4 linked regions of the Neurospora crassa OR74A genome follow. Each later gene encodes a partner of the first gene's protein in a complex. Links are inferred from orthologs where the notes say so. Each region holds a gene or a part of one and is shown on either strand. Other genes may lie near its edges.

Evidence for each region.
Region 2: the proteins of rpn-5 (region 1) and rpn-9 are in contact, whole or in part, in a cryo-EM structure (PDB 5MPE), measured with the Saccharomyces cerevisiae proteins. The link is inferred for Neurospora crassa OR74A from reciprocal best matches to the Saccharomyces cerevisiae genes RPN5 and RPN9. Residues at the interface, in NP_010134.1 of Saccharomyces cerevisiae: Asn306, Glu307, Leu308, Arg310, Ile353, Tyr356, Tyr357, Ser358, Arg359, Ile360, Thr361, Arg364, Ile399; in NP_010715.3 of Saccharomyces cerevisiae: Asp322, Glu325, His326, Met329, Arg330, Ile332, Ser333, Gly339, Ser340, Ile341, Asp342, Gln343, Val344.
Region 3: the proteins of rpn-5 (region 1) and rpn-6 are in contact, whole or in part, in a cryo-EM structure (PDB 3JCK), measured with the Saccharomyces cerevisiae proteins. The link is inferred for Neurospora crassa OR74A from reciprocal best matches to the Saccharomyces cerevisiae genes RPN5 and RPN6. Residues at the interface, in NP_010134.1 of Saccharomyces cerevisiae: Glu377, Ser381, Val384, Asn385, Tyr390, Ala391, Lys392, Val393, Asn394, Arg395, Pro396, Pro405; in NP_010186.1 of Saccharomyces cerevisiae: Lys349, Glu352, Pro353, Phe354, Glu355, Cys356, Val357, Glu358, His361, Trp396, Glu401.
Region 4: the proteins of rpn-5 (region 1) and rpn-11 are in contact, whole or in part, in a cryo-EM structure (PDB 3JCK), measured with the Saccharomyces cerevisiae proteins. The link is inferred for Neurospora crassa OR74A from reciprocal best matches to the Saccharomyces cerevisiae genes RPN5 and RPN11. Residues at the interface, in NP_010134.1 of Saccharomyces cerevisiae: Gln242, Tyr273, Gly274, Asn275, Leu276, Asn278, Asp279, Leu280, His282, Lys283, Asn385, Gly387, Ser409, Leu412, Asn413, Trp415, Ser416, His417, Asp420, Glu421, Leu422, Leu423, Glu424, Glu427; in NP_116659.1 of Saccharomyces cerevisiae: Pro46, Met47, Glu48, Gln73, Ser74, Gly75, Thr76, Gly77, His111, Phe114, Trp117, Ser119, Asp122, Lys148, Gly149, Gln186, Ile189, Trp221, Gln222, Leu225, Lys226, Met227, Asp229, Tyr230, Glu231, Ala298, Asn301, Ser302, Ile305.

What each region holds. Positions count from the first base shown.
Region 1 is NC_026501.1:3,064,067-3,068,319, forward strand, and holds rpn-5 (26S proteasome non-ATPase regulatory subunit 12), read left to right. Parts: upstream 1-1,453; 5' UTR 1,454-1,691; coding exon 1,692-1,775; intron 1,776-1,843; coding exon 1,844-1,900; intron 1,901-1,964; coding exon 1,965-2,684; intron 2,685-2,740; coding exon 2,741-3,364; 3' UTR 3,365-3,810; downstream 3,811-4,253. UniProt on the Saccharomyces cerevisiae protein: Acts as a regulatory subunit of the 26S proteasome which is involved in the ATP-dependent degradation of ubiquitinated proteins.
Region 2 is NC_026507.1:2,713,623-2,721,403, reverse strand, and holds rpn-9 (proteasome regulatory particle subunit), read left to right. Parts: upstream 1-3,086; 5' UTR 3,087-3,461; coding exon 3,462-3,729; intron 3,730-3,813; coding exon 3,814-4,691; 3' UTR 4,692-4,940; downstream 4,941-7,781. Other genes in the region: NCU02372 (N(6)-adenine-specific DNA methyltransferase 2), read right to left, coding at 1-312, 414-582, 652-695; nuo40 (NADH-ubiquinone oxidoreductase 40 kDa subunit), read right to left, coding at 1,138-1,227, 1,284-1,619, 1,683-1,841, 1,907-2,048, 2,112-2,203, 2,296-2,390, 2,462-2,538, 2,605-2,741; NCU02375 (ubiquitin carboxyl-terminal hydrolase 2), read right to left, coding at 5,164-5,265, 5,353-5,583, 5,678-6,486, 6,594-6,707, 6,774-7,010, 7,067-7,142. UniProt on the Saccharomyces cerevisiae protein: Acts as a regulatory subunit of the 26S proteasome which is involved in the ATP-dependent degradation of ubiquitinated proteins.
Region 3 is NC_026502.1:2,993,950-3,001,972, reverse strand, and holds rpn-6 (26S proteasome non-ATPase regulatory subunit 11), read left to right. Parts: upstream 1-2,967; 5' UTR 2,968-3,228; coding exon 3,229-3,413; intron 3,414-3,485; coding exon 3,486-3,568; intron 3,569-3,643; coding exon 3,644-4,650; 3' UTR 4,651-4,938; downstream 4,939-8,023. Other genes in the region: NCU01595 (SOF1), read right to left, coding at 972-1,271, 1,332-2,363, 2,444-2,449; NCU01597 (hypothetical protein), read right to left, coding at 5,091-8,023. UniProt on the Saccharomyces cerevisiae protein: Component of the lid subcomplex of the 26S proteasome, a multiprotein complex involved in the ATP-dependent degradation of ubiquitinated proteins. In the complex, RPN6 is required for proteasome assembly.
Region 4 is NC_026501.1:7,045,595-7,053,615, forward strand, and holds rpn-11 (26S proteasome regulatory subunit RPN11), read left to right. Parts: upstream 1-4,045; 5' UTR 4,046-4,376; coding exon 4,377-4,442; intron 4,443-4,546; coding exon 4,547-4,800; intron 4,801-4,861; coding exon 4,862-5,558; 3' UTR 5,559-5,945; downstream 5,946-8,021. Other genes in the region: NCU00825 (hypothetical protein), read right to left, coding at 1-111; hda-3 (histone deacetylase RPD3), read right to left, coding at 1,120-2,040, 2,092-2,633, 2,702-3,002, 3,066-3,278; NCU00822 (hypothetical protein), read right to left, coding at 7,597-8,021. UniProt on the Saccharomyces cerevisiae protein: Component of the lid subcomplex of the 26S proteasome, a multiprotein complex involved in the ATP-dependent degradation of ubiquitinated proteins.

The sequences.
Region 1 (4,253 bases):
TATTATAGTAACTACTAAACCTATTAATAATTAGGATACAGTAGATTAGCTTATATAATTTCCTTAACCCTACTCTATATACTAAATTTAGGATTTTCTAACTAAAAGCGTTATAACTATATTAATTACACTTAAACTACTTAGTAAAAGAGAACCCTTCTTCTCCCAATTTATAACCGTCCTCCTCCTTTAACTATATAAAAGTCAATAATAAGTAAAAAGAATAATAGTTAAAGTACTTTAATTAATCGAAGGTAAATTTTACATTTGAGAAGCTAATCGGCAATTTAATAAATCTAACCCCCTTATTTAAATTATTAATAAGGAAATCTTCTATTAGGTCGGTCTTAAATATTAAGTACGTTAATACTACGTACCCCATTACACTTACTCCTACTATAAGCGTAGTAGATTCGCAATTAATAATATCGTTAATCTCTAGCTTTTACTTTACTAGCTCCTTTAATACAATTACCCTTACTCGCCCACCCGCTACGCAACCGAATTTTACCCCTATCTCATTATAGTTCTAAATATCGCCTCTTTCAACTTCGTACTTCTTAATAATAACCTCGTACTCGTTAAACTACTCGTTAATAGACTCCTTATTTAATTCCTAAAACCTTCTTTTAATATTAACTATACAGTAAATAGTAGTTTTGAACTCTAGATAGTCTTTGAGGAAGCTAGCTAATTATATTGTATTGTAGGTCTCCGGTGTACCCTATAATAAGCGTAATCGATTTGCCGCTATAATAACTATTTAGTATAACGCTAGGAACCGTCCTTGAAAGTAGAATATTACGTACAATATAATAGTACTTTCCTCAGCTTTTATTAGTATATAGGGTTTTCCTATTGGGTGCGACGAGACGGCAGGCTTTTGGAATTCGCGTAGCGATTTAATATAATAAAAGATCAATATACGGGATTTACTAGTAATAGCAGTAATATCCTTAACAATTAATAGCTTCGTTACCCTATTTCTAAGGGTTTTAAAGCGCCAATAAGCTTTAAGATATATACGGGCGCCACAGTAGCTAGCGGACGCTTCGTCCAACTCCTTAAAGTACTAATCGAAATTTACGGGTATTATACGGTAAATTAACAATTTTACTATTAATCTATAGATATATATAGACTGCTTATTTTTCATAGATTTACGCAATAAAATTGTACGAATTAGGGTACGGTTTTGTTGCAACGCTATTACCGATTTTACGATGCAAATAAGCGATTTTACAGGGCGTTAATAAGCAAATCTATATGGTACCCATCGGCCTTGTCCCATAATAAAACGCTGTCCCACAATTACTTTACCCCCTCTTTAATGAAGAGGGGGGGAGAAAAGGACCCACACCAGGCCGCCCTCCAACCCCCAAGTACGTACCGCTGCAGTGAGTGTGCTTGGGTTGCTAGCAGTGACAGGTCCCACTCCAGCAGCAGGGCAGCTACCGTGACGACCTAACCACAGCACCTCACTACGCCAATCGCTGGACTGACGACACTCAAGGTACCTCCAAGAGCACCTCAGTCTCCAAACAACCTACAACCTAACAAACGAACTGCCCCTCAATCATCACAACATCAACAACACGAACCCATCGCGAACGCAGTGTAGTCGCCGCCCAGCCCACGATACCTGAAATAGTCTGACAGCGCCTATCCACACATCCTCAATACTGCACATCATGGCGGAGCCTGCGTTCAAGCCGGAGAAGGACTTCTCCAAGGAAGTCGACAAGCTGCTGCCCGAGGCCGAGCAGTTGGCCAAGGTAATCGCAAAACTCCCATGGTTGCCACCGTCTGCAGACCGTATACTAATAATGAAACACCCTTGTAGACAGACATTCAAGCGGCTATCGAGAAGCTTTCTGTCCTCGAAAAGCAGACGCGCCAGGTAAGCACGCTGGACCACCTACCTTGTCCCCCGCTCCTTCACGCTGACCACTCGCCGACGACAGGCTTCCGACCTCGCATCGACATCCCGCATCCTGGTCGCTATCGTTACCATCTGCAAGAATGCAGGCGACTGGAGCTTGCTCAACGACCAGACCCTTGTTCTCTCCAAGAAACATGGCCAGCTCAAACAAGCCATCACCAAGATGGTACAGACCGTCATCGACTTCCTCCCAGAAACCCCGAACCTGGAGACCAAGCTCTCCGTCATCGAGACGTTGCGCACCGTTACCGAGGGCAAGATCTTTCTCGAGGTTGAGCGCGCACGCGTCACCAAGATTCTCTCCGACATCAAGAAAGAGCAGGGCGATCTCAAGGCTGCGACCGATATCCTGTGCGAGCTTCAGGTTGAGACATTTGGCTCCATGGACAGGAGGGAAAAGACGGAATTCATTCTGGCTCAGGTGGCGCTTTGCATAGAGAGCAAGGACTGGACACAGGCGGGCATTCTCAGCAGAAAGATTAGCACCAAGTACCTTGCGCGCAGGCCCAAGAAAACGCAAGAGCAGCTCGACAAGGAACAGAAGGACAGGGAGGCCAAGAAGGCCAGGGGTGAGGAGGTTTCCGAGGAGAAGGAAGATGATGTCACCGACCTCAAGTTGCGATACTACGAACAACAGATCATTTTGGCCAAGCACGACTCAAGATACCTCGACGTCTGCAAGTACTACCGTCAAGTGCTGGATACCGAGGCAGTAGAGGAGGACCCCGCCAAGTTGCAGGCCGTAAGCTTCTCAGACACACCACATGGCGATCTTCTTAGACTAACATGGGTTGACAGGTCCTGCAAAGAATCATCTACTTCATCATCCTTGCCCCTCACGACAACGAGCAACACGATCTCCTTCACAGAATCCACAAGGACCCACGAATCGCACAGGTCCCTCAGGATGCCGAGTTGTTGAAGCTGTTTACCGTCCACGAGCTCATGCGCTGGCCCGAGGTTTCCAAAATCTTTGGCCCACACCTCTGCAGCACCGAGATCTTCGACTCGGAGCCCAACCAGTCAGCCGACGACAAGGCTTTCCAGCGCTGGCAAGACCTGCGCAAGCGCGTCATCGAGCATAATGTGCGTGTGGTGGCCAAGTATTACACGCGCATTCGTGTGGATCGCCTTACCCAGCTGTTGGATTTGACCGAGGACGAGACGGAGAAGTATATCAGCGAGCTCGTGACGTCCAAAACGGTCTATGCCAAGATCGACCGCCCGGCGCGCATCGTGAGCTTTGCTAAGCCGCGGGATGCGGACGATATCCTCAACGAGTGGAGCTTCAACATGAAGAGCTTGCTAGGCCACCTGGAAAGAATTGACCATCTGATTACCAAGGAGGAAATGATGGCAAGAATCCAACCCGGAGCAAAGTCGTCAAAGAAGAGCAGTAAGGAGAAAGCGGCGGCGCGCTAGAGAAGCTCAAGCTTCCTTACTGCACTGACCCCAGTTGTGGTCAGAAACAGACGGTAACCATCGCGGCCATAGGGCGAGGCGAGAAGCCGTCGAGTCAAATTACTCCCTAGTCGCCATCTTCCCGGCAGAGACTTCGTGGGCCAAAGCAAGGCTGGATGCATTACAGCAAGAACTAGCAGCTTTGTATGAATAGACATGACTACTATGGAGCACAAGGGACGTAATTATTTATGACTTATATCCCGGTTGAAGGGAGCGCAGTTTACTGCCAGGTAGAAAACGAGATGTCCAGCATACGGAAGGCTCCAGTTGCCTGTACGCAAGTGATGCCGTAGGTTGTTGCAGGTTGTTCGAAAATCAAGCCCGCATAAATAGTGATAATACGAAAGGGCTTCATCTCTCCAGCTTCACCAGTGGACAGTGATGAACCGCCCAATACTTTAGCGGACGCCTTGAGGCTTTGCGTGATATGTATCGTTGTGAGACTGGAGGTATCAAGAGTGCCAGCCGCGTGCCCGGACCCCCGGTCGTCTTGAACCCCCGCTGCCCCCGGCAACATCGGCATGCATATTGGCCAAGACATCAACCAATAACCAAGGCAGTAGCCGGCGCTACCATGTCATGCCATGATCCGAGCATGACATGCCAGGACGGGAACAATCGATGGGAACCCGTCAGATGCACATCATGGCCATCGTCGATTGAGCATAGGTAGAGACTGTTATGATGTGGGGAAACTCCTCGTAGTCGTTCCTCCCGAGTTGATGTCTCCGTAAAGTGCAGTCTTCCACGTTCAGAAATTGAAATACAGTACACTACACCATCACTATACCCACTCACTCATGCCGATACTCCCAAGTGTCGCCCAGAAAGCACACAAACAGCCTAC
Region 2 (7,781 bases), on another chromosome or scaffold:
CTTGGTCTGGCAATCCTCGCTCAAAAAGGGAGGATCCACAATGACGCGGTCAAAGGCGCCCTTGAGGTGGCTTGGAAGCTTGAGCGGCTGGGCGAAATCGTAAAAGACGAATTCGTCAGCAAAGACGGCGAAGCGGTTGTCGTGCTCGAGTAAGGTGAGTTTGGGCTTGGGCTTGTCTTTGTAGGCGTCGCTGTTCAAAAGGTTCTTGAGCTGAACGAAGACGGAGGGGGCGGAGACGACGGCGATGGAGGTGGTTGGAGTGGCGCCGGCGAGGAGTTGTTTGGCGAGAAAGGTAGCTGTTTCATCGGAGTACTGTTGAGTGATTCTCATGTCAGTTGGTTCGTCTTCGTCGGTTGAACGTCTCTTTATAAGCCATGTGTGAAAAAAAATTAAATGAAAATGGTATCACTCACCCAGAACTGGCTTTCATTCCAATCCTCGGTGAAAGCATCCATAGACAGCTTGACGTTCAAAGCATGCCTCTCCTCAGCCTCGGCCTGGAGCTTAGCAAACTGCTCAGCACGGGCATCGCGCTCGGCGTAGAAAGATTTGAGGGCATCGAGGGTTGAGGTAGAGAGTTCGCTTCAGATAGTCAGTATACTGTGGATTACGATTATTAAAATAAGTTTCTGGTAGTGAGGCATTACTCACAGGTCACTCTCATCATCAGAGAATTTGTCGATGATGCACGCCATTTTGGACCCCAAGTCTAATCACAGTATGGCTCGATTCGATATGGTTCGGGTACAAGTAGGAGCGAATCGATTATAATCGGTTGTCTAAGTGGGCAGCGAGTGACTGTAAGGTTGTGAGTGTTGGGGAATGGTGTGCTCTTGGCACTAACAGTCAAAGTTTAACGGGAGTGTGCAGCATCGTTCGGAAAAAATTTGTGGATGCATTGATGCCATTTCCCTTATCCGTTCCCCTTTTTGGTCGCATCATACCAGTAAACACAACCCCGTCGAGTTGAAGGCTTCAATTTCACCCCAGATCGTTCAAACGCTTGCGCAAATCTCTTGATTGCTCTAATTCTCACCACAGCATCCAGTCTGGACGTTCTGTGTTCCGTCGACTCACCAAATGCTCTACGGTGGATTTCTACAATCTACATGCATCCCTGTGCAACCCCAAAGATACTCACAGCATGTGAATGTACTCCCTGTCCTCCCTCCTCTCCTTTTCGGTCGCTGGCGGAAGGTCGTAGTAGGCATTGCTGCGATAACTTTGCTGCATGGGAATCAGTCATCATACTTTTGCACTCGAATGTGATGTGGGCAACTTACCAAGTAATGGTAGGTGAAGTTGGCGATATCTGCAGGCTCGATGCCGAGGTCCTTGAAGGTCTTGGCCTCCGGATCGATGACCTGGTCGTGGAACTCACGCTCAATCTCATCGGCAGACATGATGGGCCACCAGAGGGCCTTGTTCAGCACACCGGCGATCGGCTTGAGGATCTTCTTGGGCACATTCACGTGGCGCCGCCTCTTGTAGATTTCGCGGTCAACCATCTCGGAGATCTCAGCGGTAGTGTAGGTCTTGGGACCGTAGAGCTCAAAAGTCTCCGAAGCAGTGTTGTCGTCCCAGAGCATCTGTTCAAGAGCCTGGCCAACATCAATCACCTAAAACGGCTGTCAGATGCTACCGTCCGCGCGCAAAGGGTTATATCGTGGGGGAAGACGTACGTGGACAGGGTTGTACTTCTCTTGCATCCCATTGGATGTCAGGATATTCTTGACGCTGGCAAGCTTGTGAAGCAACCTGTCCTCGAAGCCAAACATGGGAGCTGGCCGGACAATGGTGGTTTCGGGGAAAATGCTCCTGACTACTTGCTCACCGCGCGCCTACAGATCCAATCAGAAACCCATAACGATGCGACTCGCTGGAAGAGGCTGTCTTGTAATCGTACCTTGGTGGCGAAGAACTCGCACTCCGAGTTGGGGTCTGCATTGTAAGACGAGACGTGGATGAAGCGGTCGACATCGTATTTGGCGACAGCTTCGGCGATGCGCTCAGCACCCTCGATATGGACGTCCTCGAACGAGAAGTTCCTGGGACCCAGGTCAATACTCGTGCATCTCCACCACAACCTTTCCCAGTAAATCCAGACTCACTTGGTCGGGTAGTCGCGACCGATCAGGTTGTAGACGACATCGGAGTGTCGGACGCTCTCCTCGATGGATTGGGTGTTGCGCAAGTCGAACTCCTGGAGTGGTGGTTATGCTTAGTAGCTGGATCCTTGCGCGTACGTGGGCCTCGACTGTGTGGACATGACTCTTGTTGTGGGGAAAAGCTCACAATCATGACCACCTTGCCCAAATCACCCGTAACTTTCAGATGGCGCTTGTTGTACTCGTCGCGGAAGGGAATGACGACAGTGCATCCTTGTCTCGCTGCAAATGTTCTTGATATAAGCCATGGTGATCTCTATAGAGGCCTACGCCACAAAGTCGCCAGATCGTACCTAGTCTGTTGACGATGTAGCGGCCGAGTTGGCCGGTCGCACCGAAGACTGTCGCCGTATGTCCACCGAGGGAGGAGCTGTGGAGGTAGACGACGTGTTAGCAATCGCCCATTCTACCCAAGCAGAGATATAGCAACAATTACCGGCCACCCTGGTTACGGATGATGGGCTTGCCGGTGCGGGTGATGGTCACGTCGGAGATAGCTCGTCGCTGAAAGCCAAAGGCATTGGAAACGATAATTCTGGGAGTCGACCGCATCGCGGCCGTCAAGGGAGCCATCTTGTGAGTTGGGGGGTGGCAGGGCTGGCCGGATCCCGTTCAATTGGTGATGGAATCAGAGGCTATCCGGAGCTTCAAGCTGCCGTCTTCAATATCGAATCCGGGACGTCGAAGCCGGCTCTCGCTGCCCGCCTGCTGCCCGCCTGCCGTCAGCACCCCCCCCCCCCCTTCAATGTACCCAGCGACCAAACTGCTGACGGGAATCACGTGTGCCAAGCTTCCTCACTTACACTCAACGGCAGTACGTACCTCTGCCAGATAGACATGTACCTTTTGGGCTCCCGCCTCCAGTACGTACCTTAGCTTCACCCAGCTTCCACTTGGCAGTGACTGTGGGGGCCTCCACAGTGCTGGGAGAGCATCCACAATGACCGACCGTAGCTGGCTGCACGCCTAATGCCGCGTCAAGGCTTCACTGCAAGACGTCAACCAAGACAACCTCAAAACAACACTTCCACTTTCATCCCGTCCTCCATTGTAGACGTACCACTGCATTGTTCCGCCGGGATTTTCTACAACGAGCAACATCCCACGATAAGTACGCTGGTTTCCATCCGCAGCAGACTCACCGACGTTTCCACCAAAGAGACCGGATCCTCGAGAATCTGCCTACCTCCCCAAGGACTGGACAGCAAGGATCGATAGAAGACTCAGACACACACACCCACACCCACACCCACACCCACACCCACACCCACACCTAGACACAACACCACAGCCATGAACGTCGACACCATCTCCGACTTCCTCGCCGAGCAGCGCGACCAGGCGCCCGAAGAACTCCAACCCCTCGTCCTTGAGTTCGAGACACTATGGGAGCGCAAGCTGTGGCATCAGCTCACCAACCTGCTGCTTGAGTTCTTCAACCACCCCGGCAGTGCCCCGCAGAGGCTACAGTTCTACAAGGTCTTCATTCTCAAGTTCGCCGACAAGATCAACCAGCTCAAGCTCGTTGATCTTGCTCTCAAGGCCGCCACACAATGTAGAGGTGCGCAGACGGTCTTCATTTCCTCTGCTTCCAAACATGCATCTGGCAGCTAGCACTAACCACGCCTGGGTGCGCAAACCGTAGACAACCAAGAGCGCCTCTCCTTTTTGGAAGCCGTCGTCAAGAAGGTCGACCACGAAGACTCTCAAGACGCCTATGTATTCGCCACGATCGCCGTTGCCCGCGTGAAGCTCGACCTCTCCGACCTTGACGGCGCGCGCAAGGACCTGGACACGGCCGAGCGAATCCTCGACAACTTCGACTCGGTGGAGTCGGTCGTGCACGCCGCCTTCTACGACACCAACGCCAAATACTTCCAAGCCAAGTCCGACTGGGGCTCCTACTACAAGAACGCGCTGCTGTACCTCGCCTGCATCGACGTCAAGTCACTTTCACTCGAGGAGCAGCGCCAGCGCGCCTACAACCTGGCCATCGCGGCCCTCGTCAGCTCGAGCATCTACAACTTTGGCGAGCTTCTGCTGCACCCCATCCTCGACGCCCTCACCATCGACGACCGGCACAAGTGGCTGCACCAGCTCCTCTTTGCCTTCAACCGCGGCGACCTTGCCGCATACGACCTACTGGCCAGCCACATCAGCTCGGACCCGCTGCTGGCGCAGCACACGCGCCAGCTGCGCGAGAAGATCTATCTGGCGGCGCTGACCGAGGCCGTGTTTCGCCGCCCGCCCCATGACCGCGCCATGTCTTTCTCCACCATTGCGAACGAGACCAAGGTACACCCCGACGAGATCGAGCACCTGATCATGAAGGCGCTGAGCTTGGATCTACTGCGGGGCACGATCGACCAGGTTGACGAGGTGGCCCACATCAACTGGGTGCAGCCCAAGGTGTTGGACATGCAGCAGATCAAGAACATGAGGCAACGGCTGCAAGAGTGGGATTCCAGTGTTGACAAGCTGGGTAACTGGATCGAGGGTGTGGGCCAGGATGTTTGGGCTTAAAGGGTGGACGAATCTACGGACGGTGTGAGGAGATGGGAACAATTCGGGCGTTCAAACGGATGGCATCAAACCTGGAGATACAGGAGTAAACCTAATGCTTAGATCAGGGAACAAGGCCAGCTAAAGGCATGATGTTATTCCGCTGCATGAGGCAGACCGACTTTGCATGATACATATGAATACCCATAACGCATGACAACGCCCACGGCGTACGTCCTCCATTCTCTAAAAATCCAGGCCCATGCTTTGGCCTGAGTTATGTCTATGTGAATCCTCTCCATGTACGCTCCATGAACAAAGGCAAATCCAAAATACGCCGGCAAAATATGCTTCCTTGAACGCCGCAAAAAGATCAAGTAGTGTACAAAACGTAAATGAGCCATCTGGCACGTGTTTACTGGAAACAACATCATACACAGGAAAAAAATATTTGCTGCTTACTTGCCCCTACTCGTACACCGTTTATCCGAGCTCAAGACAGGGACCGAACAATGTAAAAGAGAAGATAGGCCTTTGCGTTTAGCACATCAGACTTCTGGGCCAGTTCAACTTTGTGATCGTTAAATGCGAACCACTTAAATAAATGTGCCAAAGGCAGCGGGTCAGCAAGTCTAACCCTTCAGGAACTAGATGTGTGTCATGGTTCACTAGTCAGACTCACCTGGTCGCCAACCCGGCAATAAGAAATGTAGTGTCCGGTATCCATGTCGCCAACGTGCACAACAACGCATAGAAGATCGTAAGTGCAGGACCGCTGTAGCTCGTAGTTATCTTTGAGATCCTGTGTTCGTGCGCGTGTCGTATAAGGCAGCATGTTGAGTTGTAAAGGAAACTGGACAGGTGTCTCGATCTTCTGGGCACGATCATTACGCCCTTGTTTGAACTCGAACCTCTGTTGGCAACTGTCAGCTTCTGTTGTCTCCAAGCGAAGCCAGCGGTAACGGCCAGTAAGGAATGTGCATGAGGAAGGATTCCGGTAATCTGACCTTGAGCTGGATAGAAAGAACGTTGGGTAATTTCTTGATACTGGTCTGTCTTCTTGCTTGCTGTACTGAATTGCAGTTCTGACACCGATACTCGCACTTATCGGATTTGATGTATTCTTCGTCCAAGCATTCCTGGAGAGTCACGCTGTTTTGCGTTCTTGTCGATGCGACCCCGTCGCCATTCGTCAAGTTCTTCTTGCCCCTTTTTTGCGTCAAATTTTCCAAGGGAACACTGAGATCCAAAAAGCTCTGGGCTTGATTGGTGACGCCCCCACAGTTTTGGCACGTTGTGGACGTCTGTAACTTTCCGTAGTATGTTTGGTGGATGATGCAGTTGCAGGTATGCTCACTGCCAATTTCCGGTCTCTTGCCGTCGCCATTTCTCTCGTGTAATTCCTCAGCCATGAACTGGAAAAACTCATGAGCATCTTGCTCCTTGTTGGCTACCAAGTTCTCAAACGCCTTGTTCTCGCTGATCCAGAATCCGGACAAGATATTTGCGGCGGTATAACCGTTCGTCGTTTCGCTGGCATAAAATTCCTGGAACATATCGTCCATGGCACAACTGAGGCAATGGGGTGTGTCGCAACTGCCTGACTGATGCCCATCACTCAGGTAGAAGTTGCGTAGTATGGGATTGTGGAGGAATGATTGGAGGACAACGTTTTGATAGCAAGTTGCTCCGGCATTATAGATACCACGGAGACCGTTAGCCTTGCAGGTGGCGAGGGTGGTGTTGGTCGATATATACTGGGGAGCGTCTTTTACGGGATCAGGGGCGAAGAGTTCCTCATGTTTACGCTTTCGGCCTGTGATAGAAATACAGATTAGTAACAGCCAAGGCTCATCGACATAGGAGAAGGTACCGGGCATAAGCCCCCATGGGTAAGACGGAGAAAAGGACAGAAAAACATACTACCGAAAAACGACCCTGTGCCGAGCTTCTTTAACCTCAAATCCTCAAAGGTAGGGTCCCACACAATATCATCACACATTTGGCAATACACCGCTCCGCTCCTCGACTCAACATCTGATTACAACTGTCAGTTTCCTTGCCCCATGATTTGGCTCCTTCTGGCAGAGGCAGCGAACGTACAGAAGCGATGTGATTTTTTGTTGCCGTGTTTTGTAAGGTCATCGTCGGTGAGAGTCGAGGGGCATTGCAGACAGAGGTAGGTTGGGGTAATGGATGTTACAACCTGGCCATCTACGCCCTTGGCCGTGTGTGACAGGATAGGGTTGATGTCGAAGATGGCTCGCAGAATGGTCTTGTAATGTTGTATGGACATGTTGATCGTCGCTTGATCTTGGTTAAAGAGACGGCCGACATGCTCTAGAAGAGGTTAGAAAATAAGGCCGTGTAGCAGGGACAAGAATGGGCCATCTTACCACATCCATACATTGGCTGGCCGGGCTGGGGCTCCTTGACCTTGTGGTCCTTGGAGGACGCAGCGTTGGCCGACATGGTGATGTGATTGTTCGCTCGTCGAAAGCCCCAAATGTGAAGCCCGTGTGTGCTAGTAGTTCTGAAGGGGAGGAGCTGTGTTCGAATCCGCAGTGGTTGGAGCGGTCCGTGACCGGGTTAGCAACGAGGACGAGTGTTGCTTCAGACGCTGGGGATGATGTTCCTGGACTTTCGGCTCGTAAGAATCGAAACAATGGGTGAATCTAGCTGCAGAATTGGCTTTATTGAGCCTGGCTTTTCACCAGTTGAGATGGCTTGTAAGGGTCGTGGCGAGGCCGGCAAATCGCGTTCCGCTCGGGAAAGAGCACAGTTCCCGGCGGTTCGGTCCAAGTACCTGGAATAAGAGGACTTGTTAGCAGCGATGCACGTCAATTAACGGTCGCGCTTTTTCTATTGGCAACATTTGCTGGTGATTTCCGTCTTACCGTCTATCAAAGCAACGTGTACAAAGCCGGTAAAGTAGCAACAGGGATCTTCTCTGGTTGTGTTGGTTCTCCCGAAGCAAGATGGGTTTGAAGTTGTTCGGGGTTGGAATCTCCATCCGATTTCCGCGGCGTCAACATGGGCAATCAATCAATGGACGCCAACTGCACTTGCATGGACGGCAGCGACATGAACGGCTTATCGAACGCTACCTAC
Region 3 (8,023 bases), on another chromosome or scaffold:
GCGCAGTGTGGGAAGAAGTTTTCGGGAGCAAAGCCGAGAAAAAAGTAGACGGTTAAGTTAGATCTATTATGGCAGCTTCTCTACACGCCTTGGGTGGTAGACTGCCATCAAATCCTATAACTCTCTGGAATAAAGTCGATGCAATCTCAAAGCGTTTGAGGCTCCGGTTATGGCTTCTCACTCGACGTCGAGAAATGTCTCTTCGAGAAATGTCTTTATACCCAAAGCCCGGAGGTGGGCTCCCATTTTCTAAGGGCACAACTACAACTAGTTTGGTTGTGTTGATGGCTGAGCCACACTCCGACTGCTGTTTGCCAACCGGTCTTCGAGCCAGATCGAGACAGGAGAGCCATCTACTTGATCCAATAACGCAGGCCGCGCTAGATCTAGGGTAGCCCACATCAATGGCCACGGATGAGCCACAAACGACCCGTATCCTTCCCTCCAACTATCCCAACCCACGCCGTGACCGTCCGATTCCATGTCGTTCGTTCTTCTTATCCAGGCCATGAGGTTCATGCCAATGCTGCACGATGTTGACGCCAGTTTCTGGGTACTGGTCAGGTCCACGAAATCGACCGTCTGACTTGTGGGAAATCAGGTGAACCTTGATCAACCGGAAAGGAGGAATCGAGGAAAAAAAAGTGACCATGCAAAGAGAGTCAAGCAGCGAGGCCGGAGTCCACAGGGCGCCTGAAGGAGTGGTGTAGGTGTTTTGGAAGAGATGGGAAGACATGGTCGCTTTGCTTTGCACATAGAGACGAACACAGAAACAAAATACTATCGAATATGTGGTATCGAACTCCGTATAGACCGAGCGAGACTCCGCTGCCTGAAAGTCTCATCAACAAATAGCCTGACAATTTTCCCACTAAGAAACGCCGCCCAATGCAAAAGAAAATAGTAAACGCATAGCGTGAAGCGCGAGAGACCGCACAAACCATGGCACACAAAAGCCAAGAACACCGCAATTACTCCAGCTTGGCCAGGATAGCCTTCTCTCTCTCTGCCTTGCGCTTCTCGAACTGCTTGACGGAGTGTTTCCTCTCGTTCTCCTCCCTTCTCTTGATGGCCGCAAGCTCCTCGCGCTTGATCTCGGCCGCCTTCTTGACCACCTTAGGCAGGTGCCTGTGACGGGAGATGCGCTTGATCTCGGGCATGTGAGAATACCTCTCGACCAAGGTCTTGTTGTACTCGAGCGCCTGTCTCTGCTTGGTCGCCTTGACGCCGCTGCGTTCCGAGGCATTGGCACGCCACAAACGGACGTTACCCTGTATATCACGTTAGCTGTGCTGATCGAACAGTTGGAGAAAAGAAAGGAGACAACGTACATCGTCACTACCGCTGAGAAGGTACTTGGAATCCATAGTCCAGGTAGTCCGGAACACCCTCTGCATACGCTTGGTGTGGTACACATCGCGAGACATGCCCTGGTCACGGCGCCACACCCTGATTGTGCGGTCATAGGAACCAGTCACGAGCTCCTCGCCGGTAGGAGAGAACTCGACGTCCATAACCGCCGCAACGTGGCCCTTTTGGATATTCTGCGCCTTGGTGAAGTTCCTGGCGTCGAAGAGGTAGACGTTGTGATCTTCTGAGGCAACAGCCATGTTCATCGCCTCCATGGGGTTGAAGACAATGCGGTTGGCGGCGAACTTGAGAACAGTCTTGATGACGGGCATGTTGGTGCGCAAATCGAACAGAATAACGGAGCGATCTGTGCCGACGGAACCCACGATCGAGGTCTCAACCTGGTTGAAGCAAACATCGGTGATGGTGTCGCTGTGGTTCGGCCACTGTATCGTCTGAGGAGCCGTGCTGTGCTCGAGATCCCAAATACGAATGCAGCCGGCGCCCGAAGAGGCAACGAAGGAGTTGGTGTTGCGGTGGAACGAGAGAGCCGTGTATGGACCACCTTCCTGCCATGTCGCGAGTGGCGTTGGGGAGTCGGTCTTGGTGTAAGGGTCCCAAAGCTTGATGCCGTCGGTGGCACATGTGAGAAGCTTCTTGTCGTTGGTGAAGGTCATTCCCTTGACGATATTGTTGTGGGCGGCAGCCTTCCATGCTTCATCCCGTGTTGTGAGATCCCAGACCTTGACGATACCGTCACCCGAACCGGAAGCGATTGTGTGTAGCGAGTTCTTGTCCTTGGCCATGCTGTAGACACCCTGAACGTGGCCATTTCCTAGCTGGCCGAGGAAGGGCTTGGCGAAGACTCTCTCCAACTTGACGGCATTGAGGGCTCTCTTGTACTCGCGAGCGCGCTCGAAGGGATGGAGTTCGGGCGCAAGGTTACGGGGTGCGCGGGTGACGTCGTTACCGGGGGCCTGCTGGGCCGAGATGTTTCGGCTGAGGGCTTTGATCTGTTGTAGAAGTGTCAGTGGTGAGCCTAGAAGTGGGTTTGCGAATCTTGATGGGCGTCGCGTGTGGTAGGCCCAAGTACCTTCATGGTGACGGTGTTTCTCTGTTGATGATGTTGAAGGGGTCGTGGATGAGAAGGCTACCAAGGCCGACGGATATCGAGTGTGAATAATTGTATATGATGAGGCCGGGTATGGCTGAAGTCTGTCGGTACACCTTGTCGCAAAGCACAGGTGCTGTGATACAGTTATCGACGTTGGAATTAATGAATGGATGGATGGATGGATGCCGGGAGCGTCTGTCGCCAATTGGGGAGCACAGTCGGACACGGGCAGTTTGACAGCTCCCGTTCCCCTTCCTCTGGAGAAATTTTGGCGGGGTCTGGCGGCAAGAATCTTGACCGCCTTCTTGGCAGTTTGCTAAACGCTTAGGCTTGGAATGTTAGAGCTTCGCTGCCAAAAGGATGGACAGGGCCTGAGCTACCGAGAGCTGGGCTTGCCTGCCGTGAATTGACAGGGATCTGTAGGTGGATGTCTCCAGCTAATTACGTCGCGCCTGGCTACCTAGCGGTGGTACGTAGTGTACAGAGGTCTCGTTAGTGGACATGCCGCCTGCACTTGACTTGGGTAACAGCTGTGCTCCAGCAGAGGACGGGTGGTGAGGTTCGTCACGACAGAACAACCTGAGCTCCAACTTCAACACCACAACAACCACAACTTCCAAGCCGACACTCTGCGACCACCGACACGCCGCATATCCCCCCGCGACCTCGAGTAATCACCATCACATCCAATCCGATAGCCAAACTCTCGATTTATACTACTACCGCTTACCACTTGGCGACCGGGACAACCAGCACACGACACCATGGCCCAGGGCGAAGCATCAGAGAGAGTGCGCGAGGCGCAGAAGGTGGTCTCGACCGACCCCCGCCAGGCCGAGCAGATTTACAAGGATATCATCTCCAAGCCGCCATCAGTCACCTCTGACGCGGCCATCCGGGAATACGAGACGGCTTTGATTCACTTGGGAGAGCTCTATCGCGACGAGAAGTAAGAGTGGCTGGTGTATGTCGTGGTCATCGAGGAGGGGTACGGTCACTAACCTCCCATCACCGTGTACAGGAACTCACAAGGCCTTGTAGACCTCGTAACCCAGAGCCGCACAGTTCTCTCCTCGTTCGCAAAGGCAAAGACGGCAAAGCTTGGTACGACCCCGCCATCAGCTTTGTTGACGCGCTATACAAGCTCATGAGGATACTAACACTGGTTGATACATGCAGTCCGCCAGCTCCTCGACCTCTTCGAAGCCATCCCCGACTCTCTCGACATCCAGATTTCCGTCACCAAGTCGTGTATAGAATGGGCCACATCAGAGCGCCGCTCTTTCCTCCGCCAGAACCTCGAAACCCGTCTTGTCGCCTTGTACATGGCCAAGCAGTCCTACTACGATGCCCTGACGCTCATCAACGGTCTCCTCCGTGAGCTGAAGCGCATGGACGACAAGCTCGTCCTCGTCGAAGTCCAGCTGCTCGAGTCGCGGGTATACCACGCCCTCGGCAACATTGCCAAGGCCCGCGCCGCCCTCACCAGCGCGCGCACGAGCGCCGCCTCCGTTTACACCCCTCCTCTGCTCCAGGCCAACCTGGACATGCAGTCGGGCATGCTGCACGCCGAGGACAAGGACTTCAACACGGCCTTCAGCTACTTTATCGAGGCGCTGGACGGCTACCACACGCAGGAGGAGCCGCAGCGAGCCCAGGCCGCGCTGCAGTACATGCTGCTCTGCAAGATCATGCTCAACCTCGCCGATGACGTCAACCAGCTCATGACCTCCAAGCAGGCCGTCAAGTACGCCGGCAAGTCGCTCGAGGCCATGAAGGCCATTGCCCGCGCCCACAGCAACCGATCTCTCGAGGAGTACGAGCGCGCCCTGGCGGCTTACCGCTATGAGCTGGGTAGTGACACCTTCATCCGCAACCACCTGCGACGCTTGTACGATGCCATGCTGGAGCAAAACCTGATCAAGGTCATTGAGCCCTTCAGCCGCGTGGAGATTGACCATATCGCCAAGATGGTCGGCTTGGACACCCAGCAGGTGGAAAGAAAGCTGTCGCAGATGATCCTGGATAAGGTGATCATTGGAGTGCTGGACCAGGGCGCCGGCTGCCTCATTATTTACGATGAGACGCACCGGGATGAGGCGTACGATGCGGCGCTGAAGACCATTGAGAAGCTTAGCAATGTGGTTGATGTGCTTTATACCAACCAGGCCTCGCAGCTTGAGTAAAAAAAAAGCGAGGTTCAAGGCAGAAGCAGGGTTTAAATGGATGGATGGATGGATGGTTTAGGGGTTTACAACATGGGGTTCGTCTGTAACATTACGCTTAGATATGGTATTAGTCGGGCGTACTGAAACAAACACGATAAACCGCATGATCATAAGTCTAAGTTTTGAGCAATGACGGTGGTCTGGTCTTTCAAACTGTTGCAGATATGTGATATCGTATGTCCAAATTTCAGAAACTAGAAACAACCAATGTTTGTACAAAGAACCATTTAACAACATGGTATCTCCTACTCATGCATCCGTCCATCCAGTTATACTTTGGGTATCCAGTTCCTTCTTTCACTGTTCTTCCCTTCTCCCCTTCCCAACCATCCAACCATCCATCTATGCCCATTCTTTCATGTCCTTTCCCATGCTCAATACACATCACGACGCATAAACTAACAAACAACCCCCCTCCCCCTTCTCCTCCCCCTATCAACCCGTCCCTCCCTCCTCCTCCTCTCGCCCACCAAAAACGCATACACCCGTCTGACCAACTCCCCCTCACTCCACCCCCCTTTTTCCTGTTCATCCATCGCAAACACACCACCGTAAAGTTCATCTGTTCCCCACGCCCGTCTAAACATCTCCCGAAACTTGTAGACGACGTCCAAATGCCATTGCTCAATCACCACCGACTCGTCAATGGGAAGACGCGTGACGGGGTCGTAGGTGGTTTGTTGAGGGGAGGGGCGGTACGTTTGGTGCAGGAAAGAAGAGAGGGTGGGGGAGTGGGGGTAGTAGAGATGATGAGTGGGGGCGGCGGCCCGTTGTTTGCCTTTGCCTTTGGATTGGGATTGGGATTGGGAGTGGTGGAGGGCGCGGTGGGCGTGGATTATGGAGGAGAGGATGTCCCAGTGGGAGGTGCTCCAGAGGTGGGTTGGTGGGGGGAGTTGGTGTTGTTGTTGTTGGTGGTGGTCATGGGAGTGGGATGTGGTGGTGGTGGCAGCGGCGGAGGCGGAAGTGGATGAGGAGGCGCCGATGGAAGCACCGGTGGAAGCTTGGCCGTTATGGTGTTGAGAGGTTGATGTCGACGGCTGAGAGGATTGTTGCTGCTGTTGTTGTTGTTGTTGGCCGAAAGAGGATACTGGTGGGAGAGATGGATAAAGCGGCTGCAGAGGCGTGACGATGTTACGGTTGGAAGGCGGAATAGGAGGCGGTAGTGATTTGCGGCGACCGTAGCCAAACAGAGAGACGCCAGAGCGGATGACGGGGGAGTTTTCGAGGGTGGATGTGGGTTTGATGAGCGGCGGCTGTGCTGCTGGTGGTTGACGTGGTGCAGCAGCAACTTGTTGTTGTAGTTCCTGTTGCTGTTGCTGCTGCCGTTGCCGTCCACGTCCAGGGCTCAGTGGACGAGGAAACGGCGGCGCCGGTCTCGGTGCTTGGACCGCTGGTGCTGGCGCGGGGCTGTGCTCGTACCATTCGATATCATCATCCATATCCACATCCATATCCATATCCACGGTGTCATCAAGTTCGTGCTGTTCCTCGTCCTGATAATCCTCCTCATACATCCCAGTCGCATTCTCCTCAATCCTCTCCGAGCCTGCAGGACTATGAACAGGACTGCTCTCCGTGTGGGTACTGGGCGAGCTGGTGATAATCACAGGGGTGGAACGGCCACCGAATACAGGACGCCTCTGTTCAACGTCTGCGTTACGCCGAGGAGTAGGCGACTGTCGGACACTGTTGGCAAACTGCACCGCACGGCCGGGTGTATGGCCCTTAGTTGGCGGTCGCAAGGCAGACTTGATAGGGGAAGAGTTCTTGTCGGGGAGAGACCGAAGTGGAGGTGGCTCGAAGCTTTCCTCGGCAGATGATTGTTCTTCCTCGAGTTCCACTATCTCGTCGTAGTCGTCCATGTCTTCTTCAGGCCCTTGCTCTTCTTCATTCTCGTTCTCCGGTCCATACTCAACGCTCTTAGCGGGCGGGTCCGAGAACAGCTTGGAAATGGACTCCTTAAGACCAAACAGCAACTGCTTAGGTTTGTCAGTTATCGAATTCGGAGTGGTGCCTGGGCCTGAGCTGTGGTTGTCTTTGAGTGGTAGAGCCGTGACAGTGCCGGTCTTTGTTCCGCCGTCCCGTTCGAACAAGGGGAGCTTAGCGCCTGGTTCGCGTCGCACTGGAGTGAAGTTCTGTTTCTGCGGGACCGGGGTGTAGATGCTTCCAGACTGTGGTGGTGAGGAGGAACCGATGATGGAGGAAGAGTGTCGAAGTACACGTTGTGCCGGTTGCAGGGGTCGGGAGGATTGCCCTGATAACACGGGCGCTGTACCCAGAGGTGAAGGCTGAAACGGCTTTTGGGAAACTGGCACAGAAAGGCGCTGAGATGATGGAACGCGGCCTATGGGAGTCGTTCCTAGCTTCCTCTCAGCTTCCTGACCTGTAGGAAGATGCTGTGACCGCTCCGAAAGGGCTCCCGAACCAGATGACACCTTGCCGTTGGCTTGACTTTGCCTATCGAGCACTTCGGGCCCAGGCCGAAGAGAAGCATTACCCTCTGGACCCTGTAAACTGATTTCCGGAATAGGTGCAGGCGACGAGAAGAAGCTTGAGAGATTCGCTTTCTTGTTCGGCACGGGCTTCAACGCAGGCCGGAACTTCTTGGCCCGACTTGAATGAAGGAGGCTGAACTCTTCCAGCTCATCACTCTTGTCTGCGGCTGTGTTCAACTGATCCCGAACCATTTGACTCTTGTTGGAATGCCAGCGGGAGCTAGGCTGGGGCTGATGAGTTGAGGGAAGGAAGCTGGCAGGATCATTCTCTTTTAGGGTGGATTTGGCTTTGACTGCGGGAGATGAACGCATGGCTTCGAGGAGGAAAAGATCCTCCTCCTCCTCCTCTTCCTCCTCTTCATGTTGCTCCATTGCTTGTTCCCCTTGCTGAGCTTGGTAATGACCCTCTTCTTCTTCCATACAATTCATCTGGTAGTCTTGCTCGTGCTCGTGCTCGTCTCCTCGATGTTCAATCGGAGATTCTTCACGTTGATGGCTTTCTTCCGCATGAGGAGTATCGTAGTATTCACCTTCGGTAAAGTTATCATGGCGTGCCCTTTCCACTTCAGTCGCTTGACTCTCTCCCAAGCCTCGCAGTTGATCACTTTGCGAGGAAGTCTTGCCACGCCCGAGCAGCGACTCGCGTTGACGACTTGCCTCCAAACCACGACTCGCCTGGTGCTTTTGACCTTCCTCTGCAAAGTCATCTCGGGCTTCCTCCGCCTCTCCTCTCTTTGGCTCTGTCGAACTTCGCTCGTAGTCACGCCGCCAGGAATCTCCGCCTCGGTCAGAATGGGACTCTTGTCTCTGACTGCTTTCTTCCACAAAGCCCAAGC
Region 4 (8,021 bases), about 4.0 Mb from region 1:
AATCTTTGTGATTTCCGAATGCGTTCTTTGGTTCAAAGGATGCCGCTCACTGATGGCAGACACCCGGTGACCCGCTCCTTGTGTCCTGCCCATCGTAAACTTGCTCACCATGGGCGCCTCTGGAGGATTCCTGCTGGTTTAGACACTGACAAGTCCATCAGGGTTGAGAAGAAGACGAACAGGAAGAATTTAACGAGGGCGCTATCACTTGTATCTAAAGTAGTAATGTGGATATGCTAAACACCAGCTGAACTCTTTGCTGTACGACTCGAGGATTTGCCATAATTGGACCCGTCGGGGTTGTTGATCATTTCTCAGAAGTCTTTGGCGCCATTGAAAGTTGCTTTTCAGCTGACGGCTAGATCAAGCAATCCAGATTGGCTGGCACCAGAATCTGGCAATCCCACTCAAGGTATGCGTTGGTACCAAACATACTGTAGATAACTCCTGCATACCCCTACGTACGTGTGAAGTAATGGAGGTTGTGTATGTACACTATTCTAGAGTCCAAGGGTCCAGTCCCTCGTTCTCCGGATAACGAAGGTTGAGGAAACGCCCCAATAAAGAAGCCGCTAATAGGAACTGGCGGGGATAAACTGCACGCCCGATTGGACTTTGTCCTGATCCGCAGGGCAACCCCGCATGATACAACGCGATGTCTGAAGTGGAGGCCGGGGCATCTTTGGCGATCCAGGATCAATCAAGCTCTTCAGGAGACGAGGGTGAGGGAAGTGGCACAAGTTTAATCAAGCGTTCACCACTTAGTGAACATCCCTGGCTTCCAAACCACAATCACATATCAGCAAGCCATGTTTAGCTAAAGTCACCTTTATTAGACGCTTAACTTGTAGAAACTTTTCCGAAACATGGAAAAAGAAAAGAAAAGGAAAAAAAAAAAAAGAAAAAAAAAGAAAGAAAAAACACAAACAACAAAGAGCCTGGATGTAATGTGGGGGAATCATTGAAAACAACATTTTCCTCGTCACAACACCCCTAAATCCCCAAACGCCAATGCCAATCATGCTCATGGGATAACACAACTGAAATTTGCCGACGTACTCAGGGCCCGATTAGTCCGAGCTATCAGACGTACTGAGTGTTTGTTCGGGGGGTTGCGTCCTATTCTTGAGGCTTATCGGCCTCCTTTTCCTTGTCATCTGTTGTTGCTGCCGGTGCCTTGTCGGATGCCTCCTCGGCAACCTTGCTTGGCTCTTCTGCCACTGGCTTCTCAGTGTTGGCGTCTGGTACCGGCGAGGCGGCCTTGGGAGAGGCTGCTGCTGCTGCTGCTGCCTCGGTAGCAGGCTCCGCAGTGGCGGCGGCGGGACTTGGCCTGCGCTCTGCCTCCGGCTCCGGAGCAGGGGCAGTCTCGATTTCCTCGGTCTTGATCTCCGCCTCAGGTTCTGCAGGCTTCTCATCGGCCTCGCCCATATCCACATCGCCATCTTCGTCAACTTTGGCCGCAGAGCTTACTGCAGGCTGCGCGGCTGTCGTTGCGGGGGCTTCGGCTTCAGGTTCAGCGGCGGCCGGTTGGGCTTCGTCGTTATCGATCATGGTCTCATCGTTGTCGACAGCAGTAGGCTCCGCTGGCTTAGCGGCGGCCGCGGCGGCGGTGGCGGCAATCGAGGGCGGAGCTGGTTCTCCAATATCAAGATCCATGTCCTCCACGGCCTTGGGGTTCTTGAAGTCGAGAATGGACCGGCGCTGCGGTCCGTTCGGCTTGAACACACCATTGGCTTGAGCCATGTCCTCGTCATCACTTTCTTCAAACTCGTCTTGCCTAGCTCTCTCCTTCTCCCATTGACGCTGTGTCCGCCGGACATCCTTGTTCTCGTCCTCATCCATGTCGTCAAGCTCGTCTTCCTGATCGTCTGACATACCGAAGCCCTGACGCGGAACGTCCTGCATCTGGACAGAGGGAACTGGGGCGGTCTTCTTCAGGTTTTCTATCACTGATATCTTGATCTTCTCCAGGTACTCTGGGCTGTTGGCGTTCTCCATATTGGAAGAACGCACATCAAGCTCGTAGTCGGGACCGTAATACTAAGAGTTTGTTAGCAAGGCGGCAAGCCATAATGGAACTAATCCACTTACGTCGTAGTACTCGTTGTAAGGAAGGACTGGGTTCATCTCAACACCAACCAAACGGCCGGTTTCGTAGGCCCAAGTCCTTGCGACGTTGCGCATGGTGTAGCCACCTCCGCCGAGAACCAGAGTGGGTAGTCCAAAGCTCCGCACGTAATTAACGCAGTTGGCATGGCCACGCATGCTCAAGTTAAAGCAGCCAAGACGATCACCGGACAAACTGTCACCACCGCATTGGAGGACAACAGCCTCAGGTTGGAAGTATTGCATGACAGCGCTAATGACGGGCTGGAAGATGGAGCTGTAGGTGGTGTCGTCAATCCCATCGCGGAGGGGGAAGTTGACGGCATAGTTCTTGCCGGAACCGATACCAATGTCGCGCAACTCGCCGGTACCGGGGAAGTACTCGCCGTACTTGTGGAAGGATACGGTCATGACGCGATCCGTCGTGTAAAAGGCTTCTTCGACACCATCGCCGTGGTGCACATCGATGTCAATGTAAAGAACGCGCTTCTTGAAACGCAGGAGCTCTAGGATAGCCAGGACGATATCTGTTCGGTGTAGTAGGTAAGCATGGGTGGCGTCGTACGGGTTCCAGGAAATTGTGAAGGCCACATACCATTGACATAGCAGAAACCGCTAGCCTCGCTCTTCTTGGCGTGATGCAAACCACCGGCCCAGTTGATGGCGATGTCGCACTTGTCCCTATTCAAGCGAGCGGCACCCTCCATACTTCCGCCGGCACTGATGCCGCAGAACTCAAACAGGCCGTCGAAAACGGGACAGTCATCGCCAACATTGTACTTGCCCTGCTCGCGCATGAAGCCGTCCATGTTGTCGGGGGTAACCTTTTGTAAAAACTCAATGTACTCGTCGGTGTGAAACTGTGTCATTTCGGCAGTAACGGCTGGTTTTGCACGCTAACACAGAGAGGGTCAGTTTGTCGTTGACCAAGGCCAGTACCCCCAACACAGCAAACTTACGTAGACCTCGAGAAACTTGTACACGTTGTAGTTCATGACCAGACTGTGGGCAAGACGGATACGATGGGGCTTCATAGGATGGCCGGTCACGTAGGCATAGTTGCCAATGTCGGAGTCGTAGAAGTAGGCGACCCGCTTCTTGTCATTGTGGACGACGGTATACAACGGCTCGTCACGCGCGACTCCGGCGGGATCGGTGAATGTGGAAGGCATGGTGGGCAGATGTTGCCGGGTTGCCCGTTGTGTTGTGTTGCGTTGCGTTGGCGGATACGGAGGACTATTGCGGTACAATCCGGATTGTGGGTTGGATGGTGTGTGTGTGTGTGTTGTGGTGGTGGATATCACGTCCAAGTATGTAGAAGTTATCGCTGACCGGGAGACGCTGGGATGGGAAGGACCCCGTCGTGAAAGGAAATGTTCAGGGTCGCCGGGCTGAATGGGGGAAACACGTGTTGAGGTTTCGTGGTATTGATAGAATGACAAAGTATGATATAGAAATATCCCCGTGATGTGGCAAATCACCTGGGCGGTATCGTCATGGCTTGCCAGCAACGAAAAGAAAGATGGTGTTTAGTTCGAGCTCGGTTCCTGACGCCGGGGTGTCTGTCACTGAGTGGCAGAATTGCTTGTACGAGCCACGGCACAACGCTGAGGTCGGTGCGTGAAGCCGTGGGCGGACAGGCGGGGGAGAAAGCGCAAGCACCAGCAACCCCAACGGGCGAGTGGGGTATAATTGAGCTGTTCTCCATTCTCCAATAACTTTAGTAACCAATCAGAAAACGGATTGTGCACCTGACGTCCTGTCGGCAGGCAACGTCGAACCTTCCAAAAAAGCGCCAATACTTATGAAGTCAACCGCTTTGCCTGCCGATTTGCAAACCAGATAAGATTATGTAATCCACAGCTTCCAGCTCAAGGGAACCTTCCGTCACCGGGCTGGCCTGCAGTGGACTTTGTGGCAGTTGGCGTTGCAGGCTGCCACAGCTTGTCGTCAACGCCGCCGCCAGCCAGCTGCGGCAAGCTCCCCATAGGTGCTGCATGCTCCATGCTCCAACCTGACGCGGTAGGTAGGTAGAGAGGTACTCAACCCACCAACCTAAACAACAAACCGCCCCGTCTCCCGTCTTGTCATCGACGACATCCCACTTCGACTTTACAACGAAACCGCCACCGTTTGCATCGCAACCCTCCATATACTTCTGCGCGACGTCATTACACCCGAGGAACGACGCCGATATTAATTTCCAACACCCCCGTCACACAGCTACGTCAACATAATACACTACTCTCCAACCAACAAACACATTCAAGATGGATCGCATGCGCAGCTTGTTGGGCGGCGGCCTGGGAATGGGCGGTGCCACTGCGCCAGGAGCCGTATGTTTGTTCCCATTCGCAAATTGAACAACAGAACCGCAGGCTTGCTTGGTCTGGCGTGAAGGTGACAAGGGCATGATGCTAATGTGCTGGGTTCTGGTCAGGACAACACCAACCTCATCGACAACTCGGAAACCGTCTACATTTCCTCCCTAGCCCTCCTCAAGATGTTGCGCCACGGTCGCGCTGGTGTGCCCATGGAAGTCATGGGCCTGATGCTGGGCGAGTTTGTCGATGACTTTACCGTTCGCGTCGTCGATGTGTTTGCCATGCCCCAAAGCGGTACTGGTGTCAGTGTAGAGGCTGTCGACCCCGTCTTCCAGATGAACATGATGGACATGCTCAGGCAAACGGGAAGGTGAGAGGATACTCAGCTCAACTTGACCTTTCACCACCCACTAATGTATTTCCCTTCGCAGGCCCGAGGCCGTCGTTGGCTGGTACCACTCGCATCCCGGTTTTGGCTGCTGGCTTTCGTCGGTTGATATCAACACCCAACAAAGTTTCGAACAACTCAACTCCCGTGCGGTCGCCGTGGTTATTGACCCCATTCAGTCCGTCAAGGGCAAGGTTGTGATTGATGCTTTCCGTCTCATCAACCCCCAGTCGCTCATGCTGGGTCAGGAGCCCCGCCAGACGACATCCAACTTGGGACATCTCAACAAGCCTTCCATCCAGGCCCTCATCCACGGCCTGAACAGGCACTACTACTCGATCGGCATCAACTACCGCAAGACCGCCTTGGAGGAGAACATGTTGATGAATCTGCACAAGCACGTTTGGACCGAGGCCCTCGAAATGGAGGACTTCCGCTGCGAGGGATCGAGGACGAAGGAGAGACTCGACCGCCTGGTTAGCCTTGCTGACGGCTACGAGAAGAGAGTCAAGGAGGAGACAGAGTTGACCAAGGACCAACTCAAGACACGCTATGTTGGCAAGGTGGATCCCAAGAAGCACTTGGAGGATGTCGGACAGCAACTGATCGAAGACAACATTGTTGCCGTTACAAGGCAGATGATCGACAAGGAGGCGACCATTGCGAAGAAGGATACCCCCGCTGGGGCCAATGGCACCACACATGGCGACCAGATGGAGGTCGAGGAGGAGCAGCTATAGGTACCTACCTAACCAAAAGGACAAGCATGCATGACGTTTTTTCTTTGCAGGCGCATACCTCCGACTTGTGATTTTGTATGACTAGGCGTTAGGTATAAGGATGGGCAGCTAGACCGGTAGCCATGTTCAAGATTCGGTTTTCCTTTTCAGTGAATGGGGTTGTCTGTTCAGGTACAGACCTGCAGTGACTGGTTTACGGGTTCGTGGCTAGTGGTGTAAGTGACATCAATTTCTCTTTGTTTCCGATTCTGTACCTGAGTTGATGCCACAGGAATGAGTGCACCACGTCTTTGTGCGCGGAAAGGTGTTCTTGGTTACACACCATTGTCCTTTGACAGATGCTCTGCACAGCGTTGCCATGCCCATAATTGCATTGTTTACTTGTGGTGTTCGTGACACAGGCTCGTCTCTTGGAGGCTTCTCATCCGAATATAAATGTCGAAGAACCTCTCACACTTCCAAATGCGTTCTGTTTGTCATCCACAAAACACCTACAGTCATACAACAACATTGGACCACTGCCAACGACAAGTCAAGATGGGTTTTACAGCTTACCTGAAGACGATCCTCAGCGATTTGTTGCGCGGTCCGCAACCCAACAAGAACCAACATGCTCAAAGACACGGTAACAAAGCCAGCGGCCGCAATGGCAGCCGGAAAGGAAGCCATCAACATAAAACGATGCTAACTCGAAAAGGCCAGCACCAGGGGACCACCACCCCCAGAACTACACAGGAAAAGAGGAACCATCGGTACCTACCTCCCAATCCTCCCAATCCTCCTCCTAATTCCCCACGTCCCCGTCCAATTCGTCTTCCTCAAAACCCCCCTCCTGCCCCTCCTCCCTCCCCTCGCCCAAGACCCATTCGCCTTGGTGTCGAACCAGGAGAACCCCAAGCTAACAATACAGCGCAAGTTGAAGTCAACCAAAAGAGTATCCCTATTTGGCCCGCCTCAGCACCGGCTGCCTCGTTGCCTCCTCCGGTCGCACTGTCATCGATTTTTGAAGCTTTCGATCGAGATGGAGCTAGAGATAATTACCTTCACCAGAGGCCAGGCCTGCCACTAGACACCGTCACTCTAGCTGCTTGGGAAGAAGGTCTTCAAGCCCCGGTGCCGCCGGCCCTGTTACCGGTAAGAATGGCAAGTCCCGCTTTTTCGTGTGCATCAGCCAGTTCGGAGGATACCATTGCGCTGATTGACTATGAAATTGAGAGTTGGCAGTGGTTATCTTTGGAGCAACAATCCGTCGAGACAGGTTCTTATCTGGGTTCTGGGGTTGATATCGATAGTGCGGCTGAGTCAAGTGGGATATGGACCCCAGCTGGTTTTTCTTGTTCGACTGTGGCTTCTTCGATTGCTTCTATTCCTGCTCTTTCTTTTTCTGCTTATTCCGCTTGTTCGTCAAACAAGAGCGGGACTCGGTCTTCGAGGAGACGGAGTATCAAGCGTGTATGTGTTCCGCCCCCTTGGAAGAGTGGTTGGAATGAAAGCTTTGTGAGGCAGAGGGAGTATCCTGACTGGATCTAGATGATAGGTAGGTAACGGTAGAATGTTCGGTCTTGGGTTCGGTTTGTCGGGTTACTCAATTTCTTAGGTTCAGGGCGGCTTTTTCTTTTTTCTTTGCATTTTCGACATATTTGAGGATATACCATACATCCAAGTGACTAGTAAAAATAGATTGTTGAATGAAATTCAAGATACCTGCTATCAGAACCCGTTTTTGCCGTCCGTCATGCTTAAAAACGTACGTACCAAAGAAAACTTTGGATTTACCAGTGAGATCGCTCGTTGCACTTCGCTCCATTATCCACACATATCAAGTAAAGACCCTTAAATGCTAATAAAATTTCCAACATTGAGCAATGCAGGACCTCTACCTACGCGAAGAAGAACTAAGAAGAAACAAAATAACGCAGTACAAAAAGCAAGACTGACCCGACATGCCTCGAGATATCCATCCATTCCTTCATAGTAACATGGCCAACACATCCCGATCCCCTTTTCCTTCGTGCCCTGTCTTCCCTTCAGGAAACACTCAAAGCGGCCTCCCGCTCCTCCTCTTCAAATGCCTCCTAGCATGCCCCTCGCCCGCCGCATAACTCTCTGCCCTCTGCCCACCCTCTCTCCGCACCGCCGAGTACACCAACGAACCGTTCTCGCATCTCGTCCCCTGAGACACCTTTTGAGAAACGGCCCACCCGTTATCGCACACGCCAAAGAAGTCATCACCGAAGCAGACGGCTACTTGACCCTTCTCGCACTGCTTCTTCTTTTCTCCCGAGCCACCTTCATCTCCACCAGAACCAGAGCCAGCAGAAGCTGAAGCTGAAGCACCTGATGAAACATTGGCAGTTACCGTTACCTTGACCGTCATGGTTTTTGTTACCTCTATTGTGGTCTTTTCTCCAGCCCCGGCTCCAGTTTCGGTAGCATTAGCATCATCATCACATTTCCCTCCTC